Linked DNA regions of Daphnia pulex. The protein of the gene in region 1 purifies or fractionates together with the protein of each later gene. This does not show direct contact. Links are inferred from orthologs where the notes say so. Each region holds a gene or a part of one and is shown in the gene's direction. Other genes may lie near its edges.

Evidence for each region.
Region 2: the proteins of WD repeat-containing protein 76-like (region 1) and poly [ADP-ribose] polymerase 1-like purify together in Homo sapiens (affinity purification with mass spectrometry; 4 studies listed by BioGRID and IntAct, with this or other methods). This does not show direct contact. The link is inferred for Daphnia pulex from reciprocal best matches to the Homo sapiens genes WDR76 and PARP1.
Region 3: the proteins of WD repeat-containing protein 76-like (region 1) and lymphoid-specific helicase-like purify together in Homo sapiens (affinity purification with mass spectrometry; 4 studies listed by BioGRID and IntAct, counting the BioPlex papers as one, with this or other methods). This does not show direct contact. The link is inferred for Daphnia pulex from reciprocal best matches to the Homo sapiens genes WDR76 and HELLS.
Region 4: the proteins of WD repeat-containing protein 76-like (region 1) and T-complex protein 1 subunit beta-like purify together in Homo sapiens (affinity purification with mass spectrometry; 4 studies listed by BioGRID and IntAct, with this or other methods). This does not show direct contact. The link is inferred for Daphnia pulex from reciprocal best matches to the Homo sapiens genes WDR76 and CCT2.
Region 5: the proteins of WD repeat-containing protein 76-like (region 1) and dnaJ homolog subfamily A member 2-like purify together in Homo sapiens (affinity purification with mass spectrometry; 3 studies listed by BioGRID and IntAct, with this or other methods). This does not show direct contact. The link is inferred for Daphnia pulex from reciprocal best matches to the Homo sapiens genes WDR76 and DNAJA2.
Region 6: the proteins of WD repeat-containing protein 76-like (region 1) and DNA repair protein complementing XP-C cells homolog purify together in Homo sapiens (affinity purification with mass spectrometry; 3 studies listed by BioGRID and IntAct, with this or other methods). This does not show direct contact. The link is inferred for Daphnia pulex from reciprocal best matches to the Homo sapiens genes WDR76 and XPC.

Annotation. Positions count from the first base shown.
Region 1 is NC_060024.1:10,606,373-10,611,343, reverse strand, and holds WD repeat-containing protein 76-like, read left to right. Parts: upstream 1-1,869; 5' UTR 1,870-2,041; intron 2,042-2,109; 5' UTR 2,110-2,111; coding exon 2,112-2,566; intron 2,567-2,621; coding exon 2,622-2,746; intron 2,747-2,802; coding exon 2,803-3,069; intron 3,070-3,136; coding exon 3,137-3,312; intron 3,313-3,399; coding exon 3,400-3,481; intron 3,482-3,545; coding exon 3,546-3,687; intron 3,688-3,750; coding exon 3,751-3,950; intron 3,951-4,018; coding exon 4,019-4,137; intron 4,138-4,208; coding exon 4,209-4,361; 3' UTR 4,362-4,580; downstream 4,581-4,971. UniProt on the Homo sapiens protein: Specifically binds 5-hydroxymethylcytosine (5hmC), suggesting that it acts as a specific reader of 5hmC.
Region 2 is NC_060024.1:8,492,793-8,497,591, forward strand, and holds the start of poly [ADP-ribose] polymerase 1-like, read left to right. Parts: upstream 1-1,468; 5' UTR 1,469-1,626; intron 1,627-1,709; 5' UTR 1,710-1,742; coding exon 1,743-1,856; intron 1,857-1,921; coding exon 1,922-2,066; intron 2,067-2,133; coding exon 2,134-2,285; intron 2,286-2,356; coding exon 2,357-2,568; intron 2,569-2,625; coding exon 2,626-2,839; intron 2,840-2,932; coding exon 2,933-3,015; intron 3,016-3,086; coding exon 3,087-3,212; intron 3,213-3,270; coding exon 3,271-3,369; intron 3,370-3,433; coding exon 3,434-3,594; intron 3,595-3,663; coding exon 3,664-3,821; intron 3,822-3,884; coding exon 3,885-3,951; intron 3,952-4,209; coding exon 4,210-4,417; intron 4,418-4,497; coding exon 4,498-4,696; intron 4,697-4,775; coding exon 4,776-4,799. Other genes in the region: uncharacterized protein CG1161-like, read right to left, coding at 405-548, 611-736, 800-1,030, 1,113-1,178. UniProt on the Homo sapiens protein: Poly-ADP-ribosyltransferase that mediates poly-ADP-ribosylation of proteins and plays a key role in DNA repair.
Region 3 is NC_060026.1:9,601,848-9,606,637, reverse strand, and holds the start of lymphoid-specific helicase-like, read left to right. Parts: upstream 1-1,708; 5' UTR 1,709-1,932; intron 1,933-2,018; 5' UTR 2,019-2,044; coding exon 2,045-2,078; intron 2,079-2,150; coding exon 2,151-2,380; intron 2,381-2,451; coding exon 2,452-2,709; intron 2,710-2,767; coding exon 2,768-2,908; intron 2,909-2,972; coding exon 2,973-3,155; intron 3,156-3,244; coding exon 3,245-3,386; intron 3,387-3,445; coding exon 3,446-3,533; intron 3,534-3,600; coding exon 3,601-3,829; intron 3,830-3,897; coding exon 3,898-4,056; intron 4,057-4,126; coding exon 4,127-4,329; intron 4,330-4,394; coding exon 4,395-4,513; intron 4,514-4,566; coding exon 4,567-4,661; intron 4,662-4,718; coding exon 4,719-4,790. UniProt on the Homo sapiens protein: Plays an essential role in normal development and survival. Involved in regulation of the expansion or survival of lymphoid cells. Required for de novo or maintenance DNA methylation. May control silencing of the imprinted CDKN1C gene through DNA methylation.
Region 4 is NC_060023.1:8,135,164-8,139,789, reverse strand, and holds T-complex protein 1 subunit beta-like, read left to right. Parts: upstream 1-1,371; 5' UTR 1,372-1,548; coding exon 1,549-1,551; intron 1,552-1,788; coding exon 1,789-1,962; intron 1,963-2,020; coding exon 2,021-2,286; intron 2,287-2,384; coding exon 2,385-2,688; intron 2,689-2,742; coding exon 2,743-2,870; intron 2,871-3,075; coding exon 3,076-3,250; intron 3,251-3,306; coding exon 3,307-3,484; intron 3,485-3,554; coding exon 3,555-3,758; intron 3,759-3,824; coding exon 3,825-3,997; 3' UTR 3,998-4,167; downstream 4,168-4,626. Other genes in the region: CCR4-NOT transcription complex subunit 7-like, read right to left, coding at 1-149, 214-523, 598-622. UniProt on the Homo sapiens protein: Component of the chaperonin-containing T-complex (TRiC), a molecular chaperone complex that assists the folding of actin, tubulin and other proteins upon ATP hydrolysis.
Region 5 is NC_060020.1:3,557,377-3,562,208, reverse strand, and holds dnaJ homolog subfamily A member 2-like, read left to right. Parts: upstream 1-1,616; 5' UTR 1,617-1,715; coding exon 1,716-1,784; intron 1,785-1,974; coding exon 1,975-2,261; intron 2,262-2,325; coding exon 2,326-2,406; intron 2,407-2,469; coding exon 2,470-2,603; intron 2,604-2,660; coding exon 2,661-2,803; intron 2,804-2,864; coding exon 2,865-3,005; intron 3,006-3,074; coding exon 3,075-3,260; intron 3,261-3,347; coding exon 3,348-3,539; 3' UTR 3,540-3,898; downstream 3,899-4,832. UniProt on the Homo sapiens protein: Co-chaperone of Hsc70. Stimulates ATP hydrolysis and the folding of unfolded proteins mediated by HSPA1A/B (in vitro).
Region 6 is NC_060026.1:11,145,120-11,149,770, reverse strand, and holds the start of DNA repair protein complementing XP-C cells homolog, read left to right. Parts: upstream 1-1,572; 5' UTR 1,573-1,827; coding exon 1,828-2,832; intron 2,833-2,896; coding exon 2,897-3,407; intron 3,408-3,470; coding exon 3,471-4,435; intron 4,436-4,505; coding exon 4,506-4,634; intron 4,635-4,651. UniProt on the Homo sapiens protein: Involved in global genome nucleotide excision repair (GG-NER) by acting as damage sensing and DNA-binding factor component of the XPC complex. Has only a low DNA repair activity by itself which is stimulated by RAD23B and RAD23A.

The DNA of each region.
Region 1 (4,971 bases):
CATGTAAAATGTAACCGATCCGACACTGATTCAAGGCCGGCAGCCCGGCACAGATCTCGATTAGTCGATTTCGAAAAATCAAAACAATAAAACTGGCAATCGTCTGAACGACCGACGCTCCATCTATGTTACACCAGGACCGTAATAATAAATTCAAACAAGATCACAACGTTTTCTCTGATATGGTAATAGATACCACTGTAGGCAGCGTACGTACGCCGCAAGGTACCCGAAGGGGATGTTAAGGGTATACTAGTTGGAATAGTAGAATTGCTGTATTGGTATAGTTTTATAAAGGCAGAGCTATAGAATAGTTATAGAATAAAAATAATATTCTGTTATAAAGGTAGGCCTATTATTAAGATTAATTAATAATATTTAAAACAAAAATGTTATGCCCTTAGTTTCCGGAAGAATGTAATATGCAGAAATCGAGAAAGAGATGAAAAGCATATTTCCGCATGTTTCTATCCAAACATTTAATACAAATTCAATTCCCAAAAACCTAATATGATATGGCGCGGCGTAAGGGTAAGGCGTGACTTTGGTGCGGCGGAGGCTTCGCCCCGCCACCCCACGTCACACCGGATGTTGTTAAAATTAAATGTAAGTAACTACCTATCAGCACTTCTTTTACTGGAGATTGATAGCGTTAGGTGCGGTTAGGTAATAACATACAGTGACTTCTATTCTATCATAAGCCTACAATATTACTCCAACAGGATGATAATTTTGAAAAGAAAAATAAGACAGGCTAGAGATGGTCCAACAATCAACGGCGGTACTCTACGCTTTTTCTTCGATCCTGGGTCATGCTGGTCATATTCAATAGAGACGATGCTGTCATCCTGTCACATGTCTCTGTATTATCGTCTGCTCTAACAGCTATTGAAATTCTGTCAAAAAGTAACAAGAACTCCGTTTGATCAAACGCCTGAATTGATTGCAGCCAAATTTTCAGAATAGATGTAAAAAATTGTAAGCTACCGATTGCTGCCATTGAAATGCAATTAAATTGTTGATTACAATCAATAATTGCCAAAAACTAGTGCAGCCATCTATGTTGTGTTACGAGAACTGAGGGTGCCCATGTAAACCATACTGTAAACGAAACTTTGACCAGTAACCCTTCGGGTAATTCAAATGTGCCAATTGAATTTACAGCAAATCTGTAACTACATACTACATGAATGAAAGGATAATAATAATAATAATTCAAATTTAGTTCGACTTTAAAATCGCCGCACTGATGGAGCCAAGAAAGAAGAAACCAGCCAACGAAAAAGGAAGTACTCTAATGACTACAATTAGCCGTGAAAATCGCCAAGCTCTCCCTGCTACTGTACGTATTTTAAATATTGATTTTGATTTTAAAAACTGAGAAGAATATTACGAGTTTCTAAATAATTATTTAAAAAATGTTGGGGATTTAGTTGGATTATCGCAAGCATAAATGTATGGCACCAATTCGAAACCAAGCAGCGGTAATTCTTCGTTTTTCTACAGTTATCCAGAAAAGTTGTTGCGTTTTTAACTATATTTACCTTACTCTTTATGATATTTTTACAGTGTGGAAGCTGCTGGTCCTTTGCTGCCATATATCCACTCGAGTTCTCTGCTTGAGGTTCTATGCTATTTTGGACTTTTGGTCGTGGGTGTTTGTAGCTTTAACCCTGGGTGAATTTCATTTGAAATACATTTAATCAGCAGAAAAAAAAAGAATTCGAATAAAATTATGTTTCCTGGAGCGATTACCATTTATATCCCGATGATGAAAATTTTCCGTAGAGGCTTGCGGGTTTTTTCGAGTGCCAAGTTTGAATCCCGCGGCATTTGAACTGAAAAAAGTCGTCTGCTTAAAAGCTTTTTGTATGTACCTTGGATTTGGCGGCAAATTTCTAGAGCGTGTTTCTGGAACTAGAATTGGAAGATTTCTGCAACGTGTAAAATACAATCACCTATCGTGCTTCGTAAAATTATGGTGTTCCATTGTACGGGACTAATTTTTTAAACATTCAATCTATTATAATCATCGATACTAGTGAGTTATTCGTTACTAAATTGCCTTGTAGATGACCTCTAAATAATACGTATTTTTTTTTTGCTTAGAAATGGCAAGAAGGAGTGCAAGAGTGTCAGAAAAATTATCAGTCCAGTCTCCTCCACCAAGAAATGTAGATTCTTCTCCTAAAACGAAGACAACAATTAAAAACTACTTCACAGTTCTTGATCCATATGTTTCTATTGAAAAATTGAATCTGGAAACTCCCCAAAAAACATCACCAACCAAAAAAGTGATCAAAGATGAACGTGAATCCTCTGAGGGATCTAATGAGGAAAATGAAACACCTGTCAAAAAAAGTGAAAAAAAGACAGAAAATGTGATTACAAAAGCCAATTCTGAAATGTCAGAATATGAAAAGGAAATTCAACGAAACATTGAAGAAAGAAGGAAAATGTTCCAAGAACTTGTTGGGGACGCCAAAAAGGATTTTGAGAGTGAAGTAATTAGGGAGAAGGTAAACAAAGCCACTCAACGTGGACTAAAAAGGAAAATGGATGAAAGGTATGTAATAACTTGAATTGATTGCAGAAAAGATTTACAAACATATTTTGCATAGCATTGAAGTCCCTCCCTTGAGAATGTCTTTACGAAGCAGAAAGCCACCTAAAGAAGAATTTGTCATTATGAAAGATAACGATGAAATCAAGCAATGGCCTAGTAATCCCAAAGTTAATAAATCAGGTAAATGCAGTAAAGTTTTTTTGTTATAAGCTAAGCCTAAAAATCTTTAATTTTAGGTACCTTTACATTAGCTGATGCCTACTTGGACCAAGAGTCAATTGATGACAGCAAATTTATAGAAGAAATGATTCCTTTGTTGGAAAAAGAGGGTGAATTAGAAAAATTACCTGCAGATCAACAAGATTTCTTGAAATTGATGAAATCCTTCAGCATTAACGAGGAAGGAGTAGCCAAGGTGTCCAAGTCTCGAATTTATTCCCTTGTTTGGCATCCGAGTAACTGCAAGCTCCTTGTTGCCGTCGGTGATCGTGATGGGAACATTGGTAATGACATACATTGCTTGTTTTCTGCCAAGTGAAACAAATTGTCAAATCTCATTAATTTGCACAGGTTTCTGGGATATTGATAAGCTTGACGACAAACATCAAGGCGTTCGGGCGTTTAAGGTTCACAACCAACCAATCAACTGCATAACTTTCGATAAGTTTAACTCAACAAGATTGCTAACCACTAGCTACGATGGTTATGTCCGATGCTTAGATTTGCATTCCAACGTGTTTGATGAGGTAATATACTTGAAATAGGAACATGAATCAGAAATTTGTGAAATTATGAAGGCGTTAATCTCCTGTCAACTTGTCTTGGATCATAAGGTTTACTCGATCAAAAGAACGAATAAAACGTGGACAGCCTATCACGCTCAGAAAGACCCATCTACCCTAATCATTTCACAGTGTAAGTAATAAGTTTAAAAAACTGTATAAACAAATTTTTACCCGAATTGTGATGCTATATGTAGCCAACGGAGATGTAGCGGTAGTTGACTGCCGGACAAAACCTGGTAGCGTTGCAAACTTGATCCAATGTTTTGAAATGAGCGCCAGAACAGTTAGTTTACACCCACAGGATGAAAATCTCTTCATGACGTGCAATCGCTACGGGTAAAAAAAAAAAAAAAATTAATTAAATTAATTGTCTTATTAAAATTTTTCTTTTGATTTCAGAGAAATAGGAATATTTGATGTGCGATACACGTCTACAAACAATAATGACCTCGCCGTGCCAGTCGTTAGTTTCCCGAAAGCTCCAAAAGGAGTTCATGGAGCGTTTTTCTCTCCTATCAGCGGACAGTACGCCCTGACTACATGTACCGACGACACCTTGAAGTTGTATGATGTCCAGAAGGGCAAATCCGAACCAGAGTGTAAATAAAATAAAATATTACCTAATCGAAATTTATGGGAATGAAAGAAAAACAAAATCTATTAACAGGCATCAAGTCCATATATCATAACAACTTCACTGGACGTTGGCTCACCCCATTCAAAGCTGTTTGGCATCCACAACGGGATGACGTTTTTATCGTTGGAAGCATGGAACAGCCTAGACGAGTAATAAAATCGAAAAACAACTTTCTTTTTAAATAAGAAAACAAAATAAATAGAACTGACTCTTTAAATAGGTGGAACTGTATGGCGCTCCCTCCGGCACACTCCTCCATAACTTCAACGGGGATTTCCTGGCATCGGTGACTTCAATAAACGCTTTTCACCCGACAGTACCTATTTTTGCTGGCGGCAACTCAAGCGGCCGAGTCCACATTTTCCGTGCTTAGTTTTACCTTCCAAATATTTCACGACTTTTCGACGATTTTGGTTTGAAAAGTTTTAAGTGGCATCACAATTAAAACCACAATATATTTGTGTGGAAGCAGTTTTCGTTGGTAATTTGAAGGCTTCGTCTGAGTAGATAACTCAAATTCTACCTCTGAATTGATAGATGTATGTGCCTGCTTCTTTGCTCCTCCCAATACAATACACTTTTTAAAAAACAAGTTTGATTGTGAGACTGATAGAACAAATTTTGAATTTTTACTGGTGGCTGGCATATAAAGCGGTCAAACTTAAATAGTCGAACCCACACATAATCTCTGTTCATAGTTTTAGCTCTCATATTTACTCTAAGTTTTCTCAATTCTCTCTATTTTTAAAAAGTGTCTTACCTTTTTAATTTTTATCTCCGATCGATGGGAGTCGGCTTGCGTGTTTTTCTTTTTCAAGCGCCGAGTTTCCGCAATTTAGTGACTTTTCCGCCGCATTTACCGCTTCCCAACGGATAAACTATGAAAATCGTCTGCTCAAGTTCTAACTTCTAAGTGTTGCTAACTTGGTATAAATTTTTATTTGGCGGCAATATTCTTTATCTTGTGCTTGTGCCTTGTTGTT
Region 2 (4,799 bases), about 2.1 Mb from region 1:
TGGCTAGACTGGACAAGACTGGACTCGCCAGGGACTCGCAGGCTAATGAAGACTAATGAAGTAATTGGTTAGCGAATTAACCATAAAAATAATGAGGTAATATGATTTATTACTTTTGTATATTATCAAATAGACACCAACGAAAATTTCTTCTGAATCTTGATTTTATGACTTGTCCGGCTGCATTCTAGTTTCGCGCATGATTAGTAGGCCTACAGCAACCTACTAATGTATCCTACCAAGTTACATTCCCTCTGATATTTTTCAATGAAAAAAGAATCTTAAACTCTACGATATGAGACTTTAATTTTTTTATTTCCGTTGGTGAATGAAATATTTGAAATAAGAATAAGAATAAACGCGCAAACATCTACAGATCATAGAATTGGAATTTAGAAAAGTGATTAGTTAAGAATAGTGTGTCGATCATAAATATGTCGACGTTGTTCTTGAACAGTTTTCTTCCACTTATCAGTAGTTTGGCCAACACGGTTGAGCACACCTGCTCCACTTGCCCTTAAAGGTTGAGAATGGGTTTCACTTTCATCCTGTAGGATAAATTAGTTAAAAAGATGATTGAAGGAAGAAAAGGGAGAAATTTATAGAATACCTCTTCATTATTATGTTCTTGATATTGTGTAGTGGTTTTCTTGTTGAGAAGGGGATCAAGACAAACAAGAAACAGCATGTATATGACTAGTAGAGATATTATCCAGATAACAATAATTACAACAACCTGAAATTTAAAAAAATTTATATTAGAATAGTCTACAATACATTATGTCAACAGTTTTTTTGCCTTGATTGTTGTTGTGTTCCTGCTTTCGTACTTGCATTCACATCGTGGACAAAATTCTTTTTCCTTTCCTTTGATATCATCCCCTACCCTTGGGAGCACAACATTTGTACAATCACATTTGTTAGGTGGAACATTTTCAATGTAAAGTTTTCTATGTGACTGAGTTCCGTTTACTACGGCGGTATCTGGACAAATGCACTTGCATCTGACATCCTCATACTGTGCATTCACCTATTAGGACAAAAACAAACAAAACCAAAATCATTAAATTTCTAAGCAATGTTTTCTTAATAGTAAACATAAAAATCAATACATCACTGATGAATGAGAAGATGAAAAGGACGAAAAAAGAAAGAAAGAAACTCTTTCGAAGTGTCATAATTGCAGCAAAATCCGATACTGATTTGTCGGAAACAAAACAGCTGACAGACTGTCGACCACAGCTTGTGGCGCCAACTGGTTTGCTATTTAAAAAAAAAAAGAAACATTGTTTTTGTTCAAAGAGGAAATGGGTCGTTAAACATGTATTACAGCAATAAAAATTTAAACGTTACTGTGGAATTGAAATTTAATTACTTATTCTTTTTAGTTCTAAATAAACTTTTCTCCATTTTCGCCACTTAGGAGCCCCCATCTGACAACACTGTTTTGTTCCTAGCGCGCCATCTCGAAATTCTACTGTTACCTAAAAACGTGCCCAACTCTGTCGGCTGCGAAGTGCGAACTGCGAAGTTTGGAGGACGTTGTACTCGAAGTAGTGGAAAAGATTGTGTTAAAAGAATCAAGAATTCAAACTATCTGAGTGCACTGGAAATTGGAATATATAGGTATGGCCCATTTCAATCTCATTTAAAATTATGAACTGCTAATGCTAATTGTGTTTTTTTTTGTGATTTTTCCGAAATCCCAGAAATCGTGGGACGTTCATTTTCAGAAGAAAACGATGGCGGATGATTTACCTTTTCGAGCAGAATATGCAAAGACGGGTCGAGCTAGTTGCAAGAAATGCAAAGAAAACATTCCTCAAGGCACTCTACGACTTGCTGTAATCTTTCAGGTAACATTTTATTTTTTATTGTTTGGTTCTGGACTTTGTACACTAGTACAGTATTGTTGTTTTAGGCTGCCAAATTTGATGGGAAAATGGTTTCGTGGTACCACTTTGATTGCTTTTTTGAAAGGCAACGGCCCAAATCAGCTGGTGACATTGAACATTTTGATCAATTGCGCTGGGAAGATCAAGAGAAAATTAATCAGATGCTCAAAAGTAAAACATTACTAATATTGCTATACATTGTATTTAGTTGATTTCTAACTATTTCCTTTTTCCAAAGAAATCAGTGAAGGTGGGATTGCTGAACCAAGTAAAAAAGGAAAAGGCAAGGGGAAAACAGCTAAAGTTGCTGAACCCTTTTCTGATTTTCTAATTGAGTATGCAAAATCTGGGAGAGCTGCATGTCGAGGCTGCTTAGAAAAAATTGCAAAAGTATTATAATCATTAAGTGCAAGTTCTAAAACGATCCATGTTCAAACATGTCTATAATGTTCAAATTGTAGGATGAATTGAGGATATCAAAGAAAGGATACGACACCAAAGGAGGCATGAGACATGGACAAATGTTGGATATGTGGTACCACGTCAAATGTTTTAAAGAGCGACGAGAAGAATTAGAATTTGTTAGCGGAGTGGATACAATCCCTGGATTTAAAGATCTAACTGCCGACGACAAAAAAGTTCTCTCAAAAGAACTCCCTGCTCTTTCCGCTAAGTATTGACAAGAATCGAAATTTGGAAAATCATGTATTATAACGGTTTCTTTTTTCAGCAAACGAAAAGTTGACGGGGATGCTGTCGACGGACCTTCGGATGCAAAGAAGATAAAGAAAGAAGAAAAAGAAAATGAACAGCTCAAGGAAGAGATCAAGAAGCAAAATAAAATTCAGTTTAAATACAGAGACCAGTTGGAAACTCTGACAAAACAAGAACTCCAGATTCTGCTGGAATACAACGATCAGCAAATTCCTTCTGGAACATCTGAAGTACTTGCACTTTTTATTAATATTTTTATTTTCTTCTGAGTGTTAATCAATATGTCGCATAGTTAAACTATATGCAGCTATTTATCTTTTTAGATGTTGGACCTTCTTGCCGATGTAATGGCGTTTGGAGCTTTGCTTCCATGCAATGAATGCAAAAGTGGACAGTTTTTCTACAAGTGATTAAAATAATAGAAATTTCAAGTCGGTAAGCCTTACCTATATAGATTTACTTCTTCTTCTACAACAGGAGTGGCATGGGTTATCAATGCTCTGGAAACATGAGTGGCTGGACGAAGTGCCCCAACTCGACAACAACTCCCGAAAGGAAACCATTCAAAGTTCCATCGGACCTCTCGGAAAATTACTCATTTTTGTAATAAGGCTGTTGTTGCCATACATTAAGTTACTTTCTAAACTTCATTCTTCTATAGGAAAAAGTACAAATATGTTCCCGGACAGAGGGTAATCCCAGCGCTAACTCGCACTATTCGTATGAATCCAACCGAAGAAGTGAACGTGAAAAAAGAAAAGTAGCTATTTACTCAACTAGATAACGTGCTAGTTCTGTCTATTAATGTTTTCTTTTTCTTTTAGATCCGATTCGAAACGCCCACCCACACTAGAAGGCTTGAAATTCATTCTTGATTCCAAGCTTGAAAAGTCTAAAGAAAAAGTCGAAGCTGAAATAAAAAAATTACTAGGTTCTGTAGGTTCGCGCGTTACCGAAAAAATTGCAGCCGTAATTTCTACGAAAGGTTAGAAATTTGAGTGGGTAGTTTCTCTTATGAGATTAAGCCTTTATATGTGGTATTACTGTTTTACAGACAATTTAAAAGAAAAGGATTCAAAGTTGAAGAAAGCGTCTGAACTCGGTATTCATGTTGTAGACCTTAGCTTTTTGGATGCAATCAAAGCAAGCACTGGCGAATCTGCCTCATCCATTATAACGAAGAAAAACATCGCACCATGGGATTGCCACAGTGTAAATTTTTTTTCTTTTATTGCCCTAATTTTTGAGATTTTTTAAAAACTGTAATAAATCTAGATCGAGAAGCGTCTTGGTTTGGACGAGTCGGGTGCCACGAAATCTTCTGGAAAATCGAAAGGCTCAGGTTGGTTGGACTGTTTATTACTTTTAATGTTTCCCAGTAAAAACTGTAGTATAAGTATGGGGGAGTCATACGCTTTAAACTTGCAAGTAAATCAAGTTCAAGGTCACAACTCAATCCTAAATTAATTGAGTCGTCTGATGACTATGAAGGGATCCAAGTCTGCCCTCATAGACAGATACGCGACTAACATATTTGTTGATTTATTTCACGCTAAAAACGAAGCTGAATCTCGTAACTAAATTGTGTTTTCGTTTGCAGAAAAATCTGGTTCAGGCATGTCCGATAAACTGAAGCTGAAACTTAAAGGAGGAGGAGTAGTTGATCCCGATTCTGGTTTGGAAGATAAAGCACATGTCCTGAAGACGAAAAATGGTCTGTACAGCGTTGTACTTGGGATCGTTGACATTCAAGGTGGAAGAAATTCTTACTACAAGCTTCAAATTCTTGAACACGACAAAGGAAACAAGTAAATTGGCTTCGCTTCCCCCAGTGGCAATTGTAGATAACAACTATAATTTTTTTTTTTTTTTTTTTTTAATTCGACAGGTGGCATGTATTCCGTGCTTGGGGTCGAGTTGGTACAACGATTGGAGATACCAAGCTAACTAAGATGGATACCAAACAAGAAGCAATAGAGGATTTTGTTGCTCTGTACGAGGAGAAAACTGGTAACCTTTGGGAAAATCGAGATAATTTTGAGAAGCAGCCCGGAAAACTCTACCCTCTAGATATTGACTACGGAGAGGTATTTTCTATTTTTCTTGTGTCTTTTTGAAATTACGTAATGACATCAATTTTTTAAAATGTGATTTCCACACTTTCAGTCAGAAATAGATTCACGTATGACG
Region 3 (4,790 bases), on another chromosome or scaffold:
TGCGGCCAAAGTTTTGGACGTTTCAATTTTTTGTATACAATATACAATTTAGAAATACAAGAATTACACAGCTTTAGCTTGTGTTGAAATCGTCAACAAAATAACCAGCGTTTTTTTTTTTTTTATGTGTTATTTAATGCTGAAAAAAATGGAATTTTTTTCTTTTTTATGGAATTTCAAACTCGTGATTACATTTTTTAGACTATATGAAGCGTAATAAAGTATGAATAAATGTTCCAGTAAATTTGGCTAATGTATTGGTCATTGGTATTGGTTGTTGGCAGATCTGTCATGTGTGTAAATTAGTTATTGGGATTATGAGATGTTGTTGTTTCATAACTGCAGAAAAATTAACCTTCTGATTTAAGTTTCTACCCGTGAGTATGATAATGACCCGATGGATAATAACTAGGCGGATAGTAGTAGCTGGGAGCGTTATGGTTAGGATGACGATTGTTCGCTACGATTGCTCCAACTGCTGCTCCAGCAAGAAAGGGCGCATGCCGGGAATGACGGATTAATTGCGGTTGAACAACATCTGCGAATTTCATTTTCCCCACGTATGTCGGAGTGAACGGTTTTTCTTCAGAGAAAGATTGTACGTCGTGCGTCTGGGCCAACCCGCTGAAAGTCAAGAAGCTCAACAGAACAGATAGAATAATCTGTTTCGTAAGACAAAAATAGAAAAAACCTTTTTAAAAATTATAGTATATTCAAATAGAAATTAAGTTACCACGAAAGACTTCATAACGGTGTAGTGTAGGTTTTCAAAGAAAAGAGACGAATGAGTCTTACTGACAGGTGATTCGAGACAAGATTGCTGTCAAAAACTGAAATTACCTTGCCTTTTATATCATTCATGTACGTCGCACGAGGACGTTGTAAGTAAACAGAGAATATGTATTCATCGGCTTTCTGCTTTTAAAAATTCAAATAGCCAACTTCACATCGAAGTTATTAGCATGATAAGGTATATTTTGTCTTGGTACGTTGCATCACTGAGTACTTATTGACACAAACAAAGTAAAAGAAAGGGTCGAAAATTGTCCTCGGGTTAGATTCAGAATTTCGATGGCATGTTGGGTTTACTCTTCAAACCGAAGATGACAAGCGAATCTAATAAGCGAATGGGCGGGTAAACGATCGAATTTCTTTCGAGAGAGGAAGCTTGTCGTAAGGTTATCTTTTGTATGGACGACAGGAAAACCCGTACGTCAGATGGGGAAATCCATTCTAGGTTTATTTTGTGAATATGATTGTATGAGTGACGCACGGTAGAAATGAGAAGTAGGCTAAACAAGTAAATCATTGGTAAATAAACCAAGTGATTTCCTGTCTGTGTTAAATAGCCTTCGGTAAGGACTAGTTCCGAAGAAGTTCCCTTCTAGAAAATGAGGTAATTTTTTTTTTTTTTTTAACAAATATAAGTTAAGCAATCTTCGATTCCATCAGATTAATCAGAACTAAATGGCGCAATTGAACAGAAATGTGATTACAATTGAAAACACTTAGATCCCGATTTCGATTGAGGATCAAACCGATCAAACCGAGAGCGCTTCGTAAAACCCGCTTCTATTCTTCTGACTTCTGCTGACCCCTTTCTCACTAGCAGAGTAGCAGTTCCCTAGGTGCGCCGCTAGCCGCTATTATCAGTTGTACGTAACTAGAAAACTACCCGCACTGTGGCGCTGTTTCGCGCCACTGACATAACTTGTTTTTTCTTTAATTCTTTTGCACAATTGCAGTGAATGCAGTCGTTCATCTACCCGTTCTTGCTGTGTTCCACTCTTTTCTCTTTACATTTTATTAGTCTTGAATAGAGTTAACTTAATAAACCGCGTGCTTTTTTTTACTGCATTCCGCTCATACATTCGTTTGTAAACCTGATTACGGCCTGAAACGCCTTTGTTCATTCATTTTTTCTGTTGAAAGGTAAGCCTTAAAATATTCATGTCTACCTTTGTTTTAGAATTTAAAAGAAACTTTCATTTTAAACGATGCAAAATTATCGTTTATAGAAGGCTGTTTCCTTCTTTCTAAAAAAATGTCTGAGACTCTCATCAATGAAGAAATTATAAGTATGCCTTTAAATCACGTTTTACAAGTTATTATTTCACTTCAGTGAAAAATTGTGGTCTTATAATCAACAGGCCTGCCAGATGATATAATTAAGGAAGAAGAAAATCTTGCAAGGGAAATTGAAAAGGAAGAAAATGATAAACAATCTGAATTGGTTGAAGCCAGGAAATCAGAAAATCAAGTTTCAAATGCTGATGAAATGAGATACAAAAGGTTGATGTGCTTGCTTGATCGTAGTAAGTTTTATGCCAATTTCCTCCTAAAAAGAATGAACTCTAAGAAGGAGGAAGACAAAATGAAAGTAAATATATCCATCAGTGTATTTTAGAGTTTTTCTATTCATATTTTATAGTGATTATTTTTTACATGTAGCAAGAAAAGTTATCCAAAAGGGAAGCAGCAGGGAAGAATAAGCAAAAAGAGAATGGAACCACCAAGACTGAAGAAACACCATCAGAGATACCAAAGTCAGGAAGGAAGACAAGAGGAGCCAAGCGTCAACCTGAATTGCTTAGTCCTAGTGAGAAAACTGATACAACAACAAGGAAGAGGATGCGCAAGAATAATTTATCTGATGCAAACATATTGAATGTGATTGATGAAGAAGAACTTCAGAAACGTGCAGCAAAGGTAAAATTTATCTATACATTTAAAGTGCACATATAACTACAGTTTTTTTTTTGGCCAGGTGGAGGAAGATTTTGAGGATCATGATGAAGAAGAACTTGCTAAGGCTGAGAAAACTGATAAAGTTAATGAAAAACTTCCTGATCTCTTTGAAGGAGGTACCATGAGAGGATATCAAATGGAAGGATTTCAGTGGCTTGTGGTATGAAGTATCCTTGCATGAACTGTTGGTTTCCACTAATTTCTCTGTTTTATTTATATCGTAGTCTCTTTATGAAAACGGAATGAACGGTATCCTAGCAGATGAAATGGGTCTCGGCAAAACAGTTCAATGTATCTCACTAGTTGCCCATCTCATGGGTAAGGGAGTTACAGGACCTTTCCTTGTTTGTGCTCCCCTTTCCACTCTTACTAATTGGGTAGCGGAATTTAAAAGGTTCACACCTCGTGTAAGCAAAAACAAAATAGTTCTACTGCTTTTATTGATACTTTTGTTTGGCAAAAATATTATTATGTATTTTTATATAATTATTTACAGATACCTGTAGTACTCTACCACGGAAGTCAGGAAAAACGGGATGAAATTTTTGGGGAAATCAAACAAAAATTTAAAATACCTGGAATCGACGGCGTCAAATTCTATCCTGTTGTTATTACTTCATTTGAAGTGGTCATTCGAGGTTTCTAATGAACTTTTCTCAAATACGATTGAATTAATAAATCTTGCTTCTTTTTTTAGAAACGAAATCATTGGGGCGTTTGCAGTGGCGCTACATCATCGTTGACGAAGGTCACAGACTTAAGAATCATCAATGCCGATTAGTTCAGTACGTACATCTTTTTAATTTTGTGTACGTATTATCAATTACAAATTTACCCTTACTATTTCAACAGGGAGTTGAAAAAATATCCCTCGAATAATCGTCTACTGATGACTGGAACGCCGTTGCAAAATAATCTATCAGAATTGTGGTCTTTGCTTCATTTTTTGCTGCCAGAAATTTTTGATGACTTGGACGTTTTCACATCTTGGTTCCGTGTTGAAGAATTTCAAGGATCAGATACAGACCATAAAATCGTTGAATTGGAACGCAAAGAAAATGTACTTTCTATGCTTCATCAGGTACGTTTTTATTCCTTCGTTTCGAATCTACTTTAGATAACATAAATGCTGTATCGATGCCTTTGTAGATTTTATCTCCATTTCTCCTACGTCGTCTCAAAACTGATGTCGACTTGGAAATTCCAAAGAAGAAAGAGCTTATCGTTTATTGTCCAATGAGCAAAATTCAAGATGAGTTATATCGCGCTACAATTGACAAAACTATCGCGTTTGTATTAGGAGCGGAGGTAAACTTTCAAATGCAAATTTTTTTAAATCTCTGAAAATAATGAGTTATCCAACCCATTCAAAATCAAGTTCGATAAAAAACCCGAGCCATTGGAGTATCAAGCCAACGGCCGACCTAAGCGGAAAGCCAAGAGGCTAGACATAAATTACTCGACCATGGGATTTGAAGAGGAAACGCAAAACTTGGAGAAGGATTCTGCTGAAAAAGTCGATGCAGATATTGAAGAGTGGATGAAAATGTCAAATGACTTGCATTGGGAACTCCGTCAACCGTAATTATAATTTTTTTTTTTTATACATAAATGTGTAACACATTGATTTTCCATCATTTCTGTAGGAAAAAGAAAAGTATCGAAGCGAAGTCTACCAACATCAAAATGCAAAATCCGTTTATGCAGTTAAAAAAGATTGTCAACCACCCACATCTTGTCAAATGGGAAACTGATGCGGAGACAGGTGGGTTGCAAGTTTCATAAATCCGGGATATTTTTTAATATTTTCTTGTATAGGAGAATACGTTGTTGACGAGAGCATGGTTAAGGACTCGGGGAAATTAACTGTAATGGATCAAATGTTAACTCGGCTGATCAAAGATGGTCACAAAGTAAATATCTTTTTAATTTTTCGTGAATTTTATTTAATCATCATTGTCTTTATTCAGGTGTTGATATTTAGTACACTTACGATGCTGTTAGACGTTCTGGCTGACTACCTGTCAATGCGAGATATGAAG
Region 4 (4,626 bases), on another chromosome or scaffold:
ACCACTTGATGTTATCCATCAAAACAATCCCAGAAGTCATCATCAGCTCAGCAAAATCTAATGGGTCTATGCCTTCTTCTTCATGTTTTTTGAATTGGAGACCAGAGTTCTGGAGCAGTTCTATACTGTCCTGTGCATACATATCTTCCCTATTAAACAAAGATTAAGATTTATAGTCTTCAGATGAGAAATAATTTGGTTTAGAAACCTTACCCAAGATTAAACTTGAAATTGAATTGCCAGGTAGTGTACCCAGAAGGTGTTTTGCCGTCTTTGTTCAGGAAACTCAAGCCCAGTTGTATGATTTTCAGAAGATCTACATTACACTTTAAAAGCTGGTATTGGTAATCAGCAGGGCTGCGAAATTCACCGATGGGACGGGCAACTACTCCTGGGAACTCAGTATCCATGGCTACATAATTGTATGCTTGTACAATCTGGCGTATATGTCTAAATTCGTCTTCCAAATTGTGAGCCCAGACTTCCCGAATCCCACACTCTTCATTACTAGGATGCATATTTCCTATTTAAAAAAGTAAAAGTGTAAAAATCATTGTCCTAGAAAGTTGATTTAATGAAATAAATAAAGCTAGTTACGATTTATACCAGTTGAAGTTGGCATGGCTATGGATAGTGAAGTTTCAGAAACCCAGTGATCACACTAGATTACACAAAGAATCAAATTCGTATAAACTAGCATATCCAGCAGCACATCACTCGAGCCTTCAAAACAATAAATTGATAAAAGAACCCTACAATTAATTCGATATTAACACCACTAGGTTAAATTTAAAATGATATTTGACACATCGACTCAGTGGGAACTTCACCTGAAATGTTTTCCGAGTTTTACAACAGCCTCTATATATATACAGTGGTGCCATCTTCGAAAATAGCGATAGATTGTTTGACAGAAAAAAACAGCTGACAAACGAAATGCGGCGATAGCCCCTTAATAAATAAAGCGCGAAACAAAATACGGAAAAAATATGGAACGAGTGAACGACAACCCTAAAACGTCAAATTGAACTGCGGAGCGGGAGTTTTCGTTCATTACAAATGTTGAAAACGCAAGACAAATCGATTAACAAAAGGACATATTGACATTATTCAATACTCACAAGTAATTATGTTTTTCAAGGAGTACGTAAACCAAAAATACTTGCCTTTGTAAGATGCTAACTTGCTCAGAGTAAGAACTCTAAAATAGGTTGTAAACAAATTAATTGGAGACTAACTTCAAACCGTACTTCCAAATTCGATCGTTGGTTCCAATCTAATAATCTGGCGGAAGTAATGCCAAACTTAATATTTTTGCAGATATCGCACGCAGGTAGGGCCTATATGATGTTCAAGTTGAATCTTTTGCATGTACGTTCCGCGTTTTAGTGTGACTCCGAGGCGACGTCCAGCGGCAAAGGATCAGGTTCGTCTAAACGGTTTCCAGCTACACCTTTCTTCTTTCTGCCACAGAGAGAAGTCCTCGTGCTTGTGGTTGAACGTAATTTTGCAAGTCAGAACCGAATCACTTCAGCCGGCTATCTAAAAATGGTACGATATTCGTCATTTCTCGTTTATTTACTTGTCTGTATCAAAGTCGCAATTCACTTTTCAATAATCAATTGTGAAAAGTCGGTTTTTTTCTCTCTTTTATGTTTTAATGGCGTACTGTCATTTGACAGAAAGTCACATGGTTGATATGTAAATTTGCTCATACTGAATTTTTTCTTTCTGAGTAAATGGAACCAAATGATCATGTAATCTTTTATAACTTTATGTATTTTTTAGGTCTCACTCAACCCAACCAGAATCTTGAAACATGAGGGTGAAGAAGAGAAGGCTGAAATTGCTCGCTTGTCCTGTTTTGTTGGTGCCATTGCCATTGGTGAGCTGGTGAAAAGCACTCTTGGTCCTAAGGGCATGGACAAAATTCTTGTTGGTGTTGGCCGCAATGAAGGACAAGTAGGTTTAAGATTTTTCTTGTGCTTGATTTTACTTAGTCATTAAATTCCTTTGTTAGGTTGAAGTAACAAATGATGGTGCCACCATTTTGAAAGCAGTTGGAGTTGATAATCCTGCAGCTAAAGTCCTTGTAGACATGTCAAAGACCCAGGATGCTGAAGTTGGGGATGGCACAACTTCAGTGACTGTCCTGGCCTCAGAGCTTTTGCGTGAAGCTGATAAGCTTGTTGAAATGAAGTTCCACCCTCAAACCATCATTGCTGGATGGCGTAAGGCCTCTCAGGCTGCCAAAGAGGCTCTTACTAATGCAGCTATTGATAATGGGTAAGATAGACATAATAGTTTCATTTTGCACAAAAGACCAACACAACATGTATTTGATCAATGTATTGATTTTTTTTAAAATCTCGTTTCATTTATAGGAAAGATGAAGCTAAATTTCGCGAGGATTTAATGAACATTGCTCGAACGACTTTGAGCTCAAAAATTCTTTCTCAGCACAAAGAGTTCTTTGCCAAGATCTCTGTCGACGCAGTTTTACGTTTGAAAGGATCAGGTAACCTTCAAGCTATTCAAATCATCAAAAAGCAAGGAGGTACCCTCACAGATTCCTTCCTCGACACTGGGTTTCTGCTTGACAAGAAACCGGGAGTCAACCAACCAAAGAGGGTTGAAAATGCCCGTATCCTTATTGCCAATACACCCATGGACACAGATAAAATCAAAGTAATTTAAACTTCGATGACTATCAAAGAATTTGAACTTAATCCATATTTTTAGGTTTTCGGCTCACGTATCCGCGTTGATTCCGTTGCTAAAGTTGCAGAATTAGAGTTGGCTGAGAAAGAAAAGATGAAGGAGAAGATTGAGCTCATTCTTAAGCACAATTGCACCGTCTTTATCAACAGGTTTGTCATTCTTTCATAATTCTTTCATTAATTTGAAATTTGCTATCTTATATGGCTTCAGAAATTCTTTTGTTTGTTTATGAAATATTTGAGATTCTGTCAGTTAGCTTATTTATTATCCATGTATTCTAGAATTTCTGTAGTAAATTTTATAATTTATGGTTGATTTTTAAATCAAAAATTTTTTATTTGTGTGATTTTATAGACAATTGATCTACAACTACCCAGAACAACTGTTCGCTGATGCCGGTGTTATGGCTGTGGAACACGCCGACTTTGATGGTATCGAGCGCCTTGCGTTGGTAACTGGAGGTGAAATCGTCTCTACTTTTGGCCATCCCGAACTTGTCAAACTTGGACGCTGTGATCTTATCGAAGAGGTTGAGCAACTTTCACTTTCTGGTAGAAAGAAGAACTCACGTAATTTGTTTTTTAGGTCATGATTGGTGAAGACAAATTGTTGCGATTCTCTGGCGTTCCATTGGGTGAAGCTTGCACACTTGTGTTGCGTGGTGCAACCCAACAGATTCTTGATGAAGCTGAACGTTCAATTCACGATGCTCTGTGTGTTTTAGCTTCGACTGTTAAGGAAACACGCACCGTCTACGGTGGAGGTACTATTTTTGTATTCCATGTTATCCGTCGTGCACCTGGGATTTTACCATTTTATTTCAAAATCCCAAGGTTGCAGCGAAGTACTCATGGCCATGGCAGTATATGCTTTGGCTGCCAAGACTCCGGGTAAAGAATCGATGGCTATGGAGGCTTTCGCCCGCGCTCTTCTCCAGCTACCCGTCGTGATTGCCGACAATGCGGGCTATGACTCAGCCCAACTTGTGTCAGAGCTCCGAGCAGCACATTCAGAAGGGAAAGCCACCTTTGGTCTAAGTATGTCGTCAGAAAATCTTCATGTTGCACATGCAATTCTAAAATGTGTTCATTGATTGTAAATAGATATGGATCTCGGCAAGATCGACTGTATGCAGCAGTTGGGCGTGACTGAATCGTTCGTTGTCAAGCGCCAGGTGCTTGTATCAGCAGCTGAAGCGGCTGAAATGATTCTTCGCGTTGATGACATCATTAAGGCAGCACCTCGCCGTCGTGAACAAGACAGGAGTCATTGTTAAAGTTGCACTGTCGATGCACAGCTTACGTCCTAACTTGAACTCGCATCCAGTTTTTTCCCCCCTTAAGTGGTCCGCTCTTTTTGCTCGAGCCCACTCTTTTGCTTCGTCCTTCTGTACTGGTCCTATAATCTACTACAGCTGATACACTGAACAATTGCTTAGTAAAAGAAGTTAATTCTTGTTCTTCTTTTTTATATTAGTTTCTGCTCTGTTAGTTAATCCAGCTCTAATATACTAAAAGGCTTCTCTTTAGAAAGCTATGGTATTTCCGTACGACTTAAAAATGGAAACGTGAGCACAATCTCATTAGAGCTTGGTGTGTCAAGCTTTCTCGCCCGTGAAGCCATTTTTCCAGTTTCTTTTTCGAGCCGAAATTTTTATCTAAAAGCAACAGCTACTTATTTTTCGTTTACACAGAAGAAGGAATACAAATTGCTTTCAGACTATCATTTTATAGTTCACTTACTCAAACCCAAAAACTCCCTTTCGGCAACTCGCCCTACCGGCGAGGCCGTCGAATACGGAAAAAGAAAATTTTCGTTTCCCTTGGGACGACTCTCCTTTGTTTGTTTGGCAACTGAGCAGCGAGCACTTTTATTTAGTCTTAAGATGGCAGAGAGGCATGAAGG
Region 5 (4,832 bases), on another chromosome or scaffold:
AGCCAATAGTGCCCTCCTCCTACGGAACAGCAGATGTCGTTGTTCTCAGTAATAAACTGGGAAAAACGCAGAATATTTTCCTAATAATAATGTACCAGTCGCCAAACATGAACTGAAATCCTCGTACCAAATGGCTCGTGCTTTGAAAATTAAAGCTCTTTGTTCTCTCTATCAGTTCTAATCTTTGGCGCTTTACACCGTAATTATTTCCTTAATTCAGCGGAGATGGATGCATTTCTTCTTCACACGACAAAATAGAATTTTAAAAAAATAAAGAAGTAAGACGGAATTCATAACGAATAATTTTCATTGGCATGTTCTTAAGTGTAGGTTGACAGCAATTTTACGAAGATACTCTGCACTATTAAAGCCAAATGGAAATGGGAAGAACGCTGTTCGGCAGAGACCTAGACAAAAACGTCTAGGAATGTGCACTATCAACTATTCCCCTGCCGCTACCGCCGAGCCAAAAACAAATTATTTTTCTCCGTTCATACGGAATTTGGTTCGGCTAGTCTAAGTTTAATTTGCTTTGATAAATTATTCGAGGAGCATTGCATTGGCTATGAACATTTTTCAAATATTTTTTCAGTTACCTGTATAAAACTGATTATGAAATCCAATACAACAATGCGATAACTAGAGGTTGTTACGATTGGATCAACTTTATTTAAATATCAAGCACATTCGTAACACCAACTTGGCACAACGTATTTTCGAATTTTGTTTGTTTTTCGAGTCTGGAAGATAACAGGAAAAACCTCTATGTATGACATTGACATGCTCATCCCTTATCACGAGCAAATTAGTAAATTCTAAAATTACAGCTCACTCTTATAATCAGTGCAGCATATAAAATTTACTTTATACCTATTAACTTCGACTTTCGCCCCATTGTTAGTGATCAGAGACATAAATTTTTTCTCAGATGAATACAAACTGCAACAAAATATGATATAACCTTGAATAAAAAAGAGATAAGCCATGGGCCGTGGCTTTCCTCGAAGTCTAATAATGGCTCCGAATTAAAATTTTTTATGAGCGCAAAGCAGGAATTTGTGGGTTCGGCAGGCATTCTAGGCATGTGGTCGATATTTTAACCATGTTTATATGAGCTAGTAATTAATAAGTTGCAGAACCACCTAGCCTCAATGAGTACCGAGTTGAGTGTTCTCTCGTATTCTGCCACCGAAAACAGAAAATTCATTCTCCCATCCGAAAGAATGAGGCCATTGCGCAGCTCGGGATGAGAAAGAAAAACATGGCAATGATGCTTTCACCGATAACTTGATGTACAAGGCCGATTCTTTCTTTGGACAAGAGCCAATCATCTTTCAGTAACCATCTATGCCCACATAGCGGTAGGGAAAAGAACTCATCAATCAAATAGAACTCAATTAACGAAGATGGTGATGTTTTCCCATCGTTAATTCTTTTTTCATGAAATAGTACAACAAAATTTGACACTAAAATTTTAGTTTTCAATTATAATAAAAGGAACAAAATTCATCTCCCAACAAATAATTCCCTCCGTCTTAAAATTGGACAAGTCGCCGCTGGGTGACTCTAGCTGGTTTCCTTAATGATGGTTGCCTCAAAAAGAACCAACTTGCTGTCCTCACTGCCCTCAGAAGGAGAGTGGTGCGGCCTTTGGGACAAATTAGACCTACCATTTTACTAGAAGTTCTGCAATCTTGCTGGTCAAAAAATCTGCGATGGCTGACAATGCTCTTTACGAAATCCTTGGTGTCCCAACCAAAGCCACCGATGCTGAACTCAAAAAGGTAGTTATGTGTTCGGTGTTAATTTTGTGAAGCAAAAATATTCTAAAATCCGAAATACGACTCTAAATTCCAAGAACAAACTATCGATTTTTCAGGGTCATGTCGTGGCATGTCTAGGAACAATGGCTACTTATCTAGCAGTTTTGTAATGACAACTGATTTCTGCTAACATGTTCTCTATCTGTTTTAGGCCTACAGAAAACTAGCCAAAGAGTTCCACCCTGACAAGAACCCTGAGGCTGGTGAGAAGTTTAAGGAGATATCATTTGCCTATGAAGTCTTGTCTGATCCAAAGAAGAGAGAAGTTTATGACAGACATGGACTGAAAGGATTGCAAGAAGGTGTACATGAACATGGTGGTTTTGGCGCCGATGATATCCTGTCCCATTTCTTTGGTGGTGGGTTGTTTGGAGGTATGGGAGGTGGTGGTCGTCGAAAGACTCGTCAAAGAGGAGAAGATACTGTGCACCCTCTCAAGTAAGGCTCTTTGTGCTGTGTGCAGCTTTAGTTTCTAGGTTTTAACATGTCTTTGTATGTTTAGAGTGACATTGGAAGACCTCTACAATGGAAAGACATCCAAGCTCCAGTTGAGCAAGAATGTCATTTGTGCTCTTTGCAGTGGGTATGTGTATTTTTATGTCATTTGATTTGGCCAGTATTTTACAAATTTTTTTTTCTGTTACAGGCAAGGTGGCAAACCTGGAGCCAATGTTACTTGTGCAACCTGCCAAGGTCGTGGAATAAAAATTTCCCTGAGACCACTTGGACCTGGTATGATGCAACAGATTCAGTCAGTATGTTCAACCTGTAATGGAGAAGGTAAACAACCATTGGAAATTTTAATTTTCCTTGTCTAATGTTGAATTAATCTTACAGGTGAGATGATCAACGAGAGAGATCGCTGCAAGGCTTGTAAAGGCAAGAAAGTACAGAACGAAACCAAAATTTTGGAAGTTCACGTCGACAAAGGCATGAAAGATTCACAGAAAATTCTGTTTCGCGGTGAAGGTGATCAACAGGTATTTTGCACTACAAACATTCATTGATCTGCAGTGTCTTATAACTGTGATATTCCAATAGCCCGGAGTTGAAGCTGGCGACGTAGTGATAATTTTGCAACAGAAACCCCATGAAAAGTTCAAGCGACAAGGAGACGATCTTTGCGTGATGCACACTATAACTCTGACTGAAGCATTGTGTGGGTTCTGCTATGTGTTGAAGGTTAGTTGTTGTAAGATTTCTTTTCGACAGATTTTTTTATTCTACCGTTTTATATTTTGGTGCCAATAGCATCTCGACGGCCGTGATTTGGTGATCCGACAAGCACCAGGAAACGTAGTCGAACCCGGCAGCACTAAGATGGTGCCCGGCGAAGGAATGCCTCGTTACCGTAGTCCTTTCGAAAAAGGAGAGCTGTTTATTAAATTTGACGTAGAGTTCCCCTCTAGCCATTTTGCTGATGAATCAACAATTATGGTACATTAATTCTTGAAAACCAGTTGGGAGTGGATTAGTTAATGAAATAACAAAATGTTCAATTTTGTTATTTGTGAAATTCGATAGGCGATCGAGAAACTTTTACCCGGACGACCCTCAGTCATTCCACCCTCAGGAGAGCACGTCGAGGAGGTTGACCTTCACGATTACGACGCCAATGAACGCCGTGACGGAGCTGGCGGACCCAGCAACGCATATGATTCTGACGATGAAGAGGGAGGTCCATCAGGACCAGGTGTACAGTGCGCCCATCAGTAGATTCACAAGCGAAAACAAGTCGATCTTGTTTTTCGTATTCGGCGATTCCCTTTCCTTTATAACCAAATTTCAAATCTTGAATTATCTTAAGTTGAAAAACATTTTCCTCGACTTTAAAAAAAAAAAAAAATTGCTTGTCGTTCTGAAAACATTTGTTCGTCCAGTGTAGCAAAATTAAGAAGTGGGGGGTCGACTGTTCACCGTCACGCTGGTTAGGTGAATCGTTGCCTTTCATGGCATATAGTGAAAGAACAATCAAGATTACTGTTTTTCGTTTGAATTTGTACTCTGGGAATCTTGGCCCCCCTATCTCGACTTGACATCCTTTGGTAAACACGAAATAAACGATGTCACTTCAAGCTTTCAAGCTTGGTTCTTTTTCTGTAGCCCTTCCCTGTCTTGTCATGTTTACTCATCATTACTCATACTGTAATTAGGATCCGTTGTGCTGCTTCGCCATTGCTAATGATGTCACTGTTCCAATTTGTAGAAGAAAACGATGCGTTATCACAGGTTTTGTTGACTGCAGATCATTACCGAATCCCTACATTTAGTCAATCACCAAATCTTGATAACTCAATGACAATAATGGAAACATTGTGGCAAGACTTAAGCAGAGCTTATTTTATTTTGGCTGTCATTTCGAGTGACTTAATCAAAATTGACGATTGGGATGTGAGTGTGTGCGTTCTCCGTTTGGATGTCGAAACTAGAATAGCATCTGAGTGCAAAGGCTTCCGGATAGGGATTACACAGAAAAACGGGATCACGCTAGTTGCGACTTGAGGAAATCGGCATGTCGAGTTTGAACAATAAATGATGTTGATGGCTGACAATTCAGACGTTCAGTTCAGCCGAACTGGGAAGCTCATTGAAGCATTTATTCTGTCTTCGCTTGGCTTTTCTGCATTGTTCACCGTGACGTGTAATCTAGGCGGAGCATCAGCGAAGAAAAGGCAGTCGCTTTTATGGCAATTTTTCTTCATCGTGAAATGTGTGTTCAGCTTGCGCTACTTTGACAACGAAAGGATTTTGTAAAAGATTTTCAAAGGATTAGAGGCAGATGATGCAGCGATTCGAACGACAATGGATACAGAGCGGTCAAACAACATTCAACCATTTACATCAATGTGAACTCAAAAAGTGGAAAATGGAAGAAAAGAAACGAAAGATGTTTTTAGTTTGGTTTGATAATTCACCGACAACACAATTTCATTTGAGGACATAAACATGTAACATAACATAACTGAATAATATAGCTAACGTTAAAGCAAGTTGCACGTCTTGTTCTCC
Region 6 (4,651 bases), on another chromosome or scaffold:
TTATAAACGACTTAAGATCTTAGTGAAATAAGCTAATCCAGAAGATTCTTTTATACAGTATAAATTTCAGTAAGAAAGTCCCATTTTCCCTCTTCTCCCCGTTCTCGAGCTAAAAAAGTCTACCAGCCATGCTGCGTTGCCAGATAAAACGGCTAAAGAAAACAGATCCGAAAGAGCCCTATAGCTTATTAGCTTTTATTTTGTGGTTTTTGTTTTCCGGTTAGGAAATAAAATGAACTCATGCAATTAGTTGTTTGTCGTAGGCATTTCACAACACAAGTCTAAACATGGTGTCCATGAAAAACATTTTTTCATATTTGATGGCATTATTTATCATCAAGACTGAAATGGCCCTTCAAAATTGGGAGTCCGCTGCAGGCACCCGCTGGGACAACAATTGTGATTTTGAAGGAAATCATGTTGTAAATAAAACAATTAAAGCAGAAGAATGTGGAGGTTTTTGCCAATTTGATGTTGCAGATTGTACACATTTCACATTTACAACTACAACTTCCGATAAAGTATGTGCAAGTATTTGTCATTTACATAGGCATGTATTTACAGTTTTACAGTACCCGAAAGTGGACATTGCTAAGTTTGTGCCTCAATTATACGCATTTAATCGCTATAGTGTATTGAGCTGTATGCGACGTATAATGTCCGTTCTCCACAGGAAAGTATAGTAACTTGTAAAATGTAGATAGCCCTTATGTAAAACTGATATGAACCATCTGTGATGTTTATTTTTTTTTTAATTTGGAGAATTTTTTTATAGAATGGAACCTGTTGGGCAAAATCGGGCGGAATATTACCCGAAAAAAGAATTCATTTGAATTCTCCAGGATCTGTTTGTGGATACTTGGTGATATCATGGAAGCTGGAAAACGATTTATTTTGGTCCCATAATTGCAACTTTCCTGGAAATGATATAAAAAAAGAACCTTCCGATGGAAAATTCTGTGGGGAGCTTTGCAAACGAAACCCGCCATGTAACCACTTCGTTTGGACAAATGTTGAAGTAATGTAATCAAATGACATTTTCGCGAATTTCAATTCACCTTTACAACCAATTTTAAATTAATTTGCAATTCAGGGGCAGGGAGGCATTTGCTGGATGAAATTTGATAAAAATATTATAAAAGAAAAGAGTGCTGTTCTCATTCCGGGTTCAAGAGGGGCAATTTGTGGAATTCTCTGGTCTAAAGATGATGATTGTGAATGCGTTTGTAACTAACAAATCAATTAGGTAGGTACACGAAAAAAAGCTGAATAATTGGTATTAAGAAGAGAGAGAAGTTTTTTTCATACGAATTCCTTTTTTTCTCCCAAGCCAGGGAAATTCAAAAAATTTCAAGCTTTCATCGAGAATCAAGAATGCTCTATAAATTGGGTGTCCAAATTTATCAACATTACAATAAAAATTTTAATATATTGGCGTTTTTTTTAAACTACGCTCATCCGCTTCACCAATTTTTTTCACTTACCTTTTAAATTTACCTTTTCAACCCTGGCCCTAGATGTCACTCTATAATAAAATAACCCCTCGGGGCCTCGGATTGCAGAATGCAGAGTATTATTTATTATAACATCGTCGTCTGCTGTATACTGCATCAATCAAATTGAATCAAATCAACATTCAAATTCAACAGTGTCAGAAATTGAAGTTTTGTGATTTTTTAGCTTAAGAGTGATGTTGGTTTTATAGAAAAAAAATGTTTCTTTTATTTGTCCTTGAAGATTAAATAGCTACGGATCAAATTTCAAAGTCAGTCGCGTGGGTTAAAAAATTTACGAAGCAAAGATAATAACGAGATTATCTAAATTAAAATGGCTCCAAATAAAGGAGCTAACAAGAGGAAATCTGAAAGCCCTCAAACAGAAGAAAATATGGCTGAGAGAAAAAGGTACATCACTCGATCTTCTAACAGAAATCAAGTAAGCTACCATGAAAGTGATGATGATGAATTAAAAGAACCACCTCCAAAAATTGTGTGTAGCTCAGAGGATGATGATTTTGTGAATCAAGACAAAGAAACAGAAGATCACGAAGAAACCAGCATAGAGCCTTTATCCACATCTGCTGCCAAGTTGGCTAAAGCTAAACGAAATTATAGACATTCAGAAACCAGTTTTAAAGACATTCCAAGAAAGAAAATTGCAAAAGTAGTTGCACAAGCTCCAATCAATGTAGGGTTCAAACCTGTAAGTTATGATATCTCTAAAATGAAATCCGAACTTGATCTTAGTGACTCATCAGACTCTGAAAATGACTGCTTAACTACCACATCAGCTTCAAAAAAACAATGTAATAAAGATTCTGTAATGACAAATAGTTTATGTATGAAAGAGGATCAAGAAAGATCGCATTGCACTTCCTTACAAAAAGAGTTTGTGGAACAGTTGGATGTTTCTCCAACTGGTGTCGATCCCTGGATACAAAATTTGAGAGCATTAAAAAATGAATCACAACAAGAAAATGAATCAGTAATGAAAACAGAAGTCATTTCAACTAAAGCAAGAGGAAAGAAGATAAAGCAACTTCCTACCAAAACAAGGACCAAAAACGCTGTAAAGAGAAATCAGACTAATGAAATCAGTTTAGCTGAAATGCTAAAACAAGAAGAAGTTCAAGACTCTTCTTGCTCTGAAGATGATGATGAAAACTGGGAAAGAGTAAAGCCATCATGTGATGTCCCTGAACAAGATAGAGAACTACCTAAAAGTGTCGAAATCACCCTCGAAGTTACAGGGCTGAAACATAAAAAGAAGGGACGAGACGTTGAAAATTTTATTCGTCTTAAAATCAATCGAATACGTAAGGAAATTCAAATGGTATGAAAAATGTTTATATAATTATTGAAATCGATAAATTTAATCATTTCTGTTCTGTCCCCAGGATCTGCATCAGGTATCATTAGTTGGGCTTTTAGCGCACGGCTACCTTGTCAATAAAATGCTCTGTGATCCAGTGGTGATGGCTTCAGCGCTGTCTGTTGTTCCACCAACAGGATTCCCACCAAACCGCACCGATCTTAATTATTTAGAAAAATTTATGAAATGGGTAGCAAAACACTTTAATGTGGGCACACCGAGAGTAACCCAAAGTAATCCAGAAGTAAAAGACATATTAAACTGTATTTCCTCTGGTAAAGCTCAGAGCGTTGAAGAATTAGTTTACACCTGCGTTGCCGTGTGCCGTTCATTAGGTATTTTATCTCGGCTGGTTTTATCTCTTCAGCCTTTACCGGCCAAAGTGGATTCAAGTGAACTTCAACAGAAATCGCCAGATCAAAATAAGAAAACAAAAGAGAAGAAACATTCCCCTGTCCAGATAGAGAAAGCTAATACATCTGACGTTCGGTGCGTCATTGACAGGAGGACCAAGAAATCCGCAAAATCTACTGTTGGTAAGGAAACTTGTTAATGTTGGTCAATCTGGGATTATCGGTAAATTCTTATTTTTAAATCAGGATCTGAGCAGACAATTGCTAACCCGAAAAACAGTTCAAATAAAGGTAAAGCTCTTGCTACAGCTGGAAAAGGTCGTCTCAAACCTGAATCACCAAAAACTAAAAGTGCCGCAAACCCCCAAGAAGCTCATAAGTCGCGGCCTAGCACTTCAAAAATCAAGGATTCAACATCTCAAATGAAGAATTCTGATCCACCGAATGATTTACGCAAACGTAGTCGAAGAAAGTCAGCTGAGAAGCCAGTAAAATATGAAGAATCCCCTTTTGATGACACGGAGGAAGAAGCTGTTTCGCTTAGTAAAACTTCTGTTAATAAGAAAAAGACTTCCCCGAAGGAGATTAAAAAAAGTACGACTAAAGGCGACTTTAAAAAACCAAAATCGAAAACTACTCTCAAGCGTAACAAGGAAAGTTCTTCTGACGAGTATGAAGAACCCACTTCTGATGATTCCGAAATCCAAGAGAAATCTACAACTTCGACAAAGAACAAGAGTCACGCTGCTCAAAGTAATGCTCAAAAACGGTCTAAGAAAATCATTTCCACTGACAGTGAAGGCGACGCTTTAGCAAAAAAGAAGAAAACTACCGACGTATGGATGGAAGTCTATTTAGAACAGGAAGAACAGTGGATGAGTGTGGATGTCATTTCTGGTCAGATTCATTGTGATCGTCATTTAGAGCGGAACGCATCCGATCCGCTTCTATACGCAGTGGCTTACAATTTTGATCTGACATGGAAGGATGTAACAGCCCGCTATGCTTCCTCGTTTTTGTCGACTACTCGCAAACAGCGAGCACATCCTACCTGGAGTAAACTTTTGAATATTCATCGAGAAAAACCTAGTCCCAGATCCAAGGCCGAAGACGAAAGCATGGAAAAAAGCCTCACTGATCGACCCATGCCCACCAGCATCTCAGAGTTCAAGTCTCATCCACTCTATGCTCTTCAGCGGCATTTGCTAAAGGTATAAACCCTATTCTATATTATAAAGTAAAAATTCGTTTCGCTTAACCCAATTTATTTTTATCAATTAGTTTGAAGCAATTTATCCTCCAACTGCCATTCCAGTGGGTTACATACGTAAGGAACCTGTGTATGCAAGGGAGTGCGTAAAAAATCTTCATTCGCGAGAAACTTGGCTGAAGGAAGCCAAAGTTGTTCGAGTGAGTAAAAATGCTAA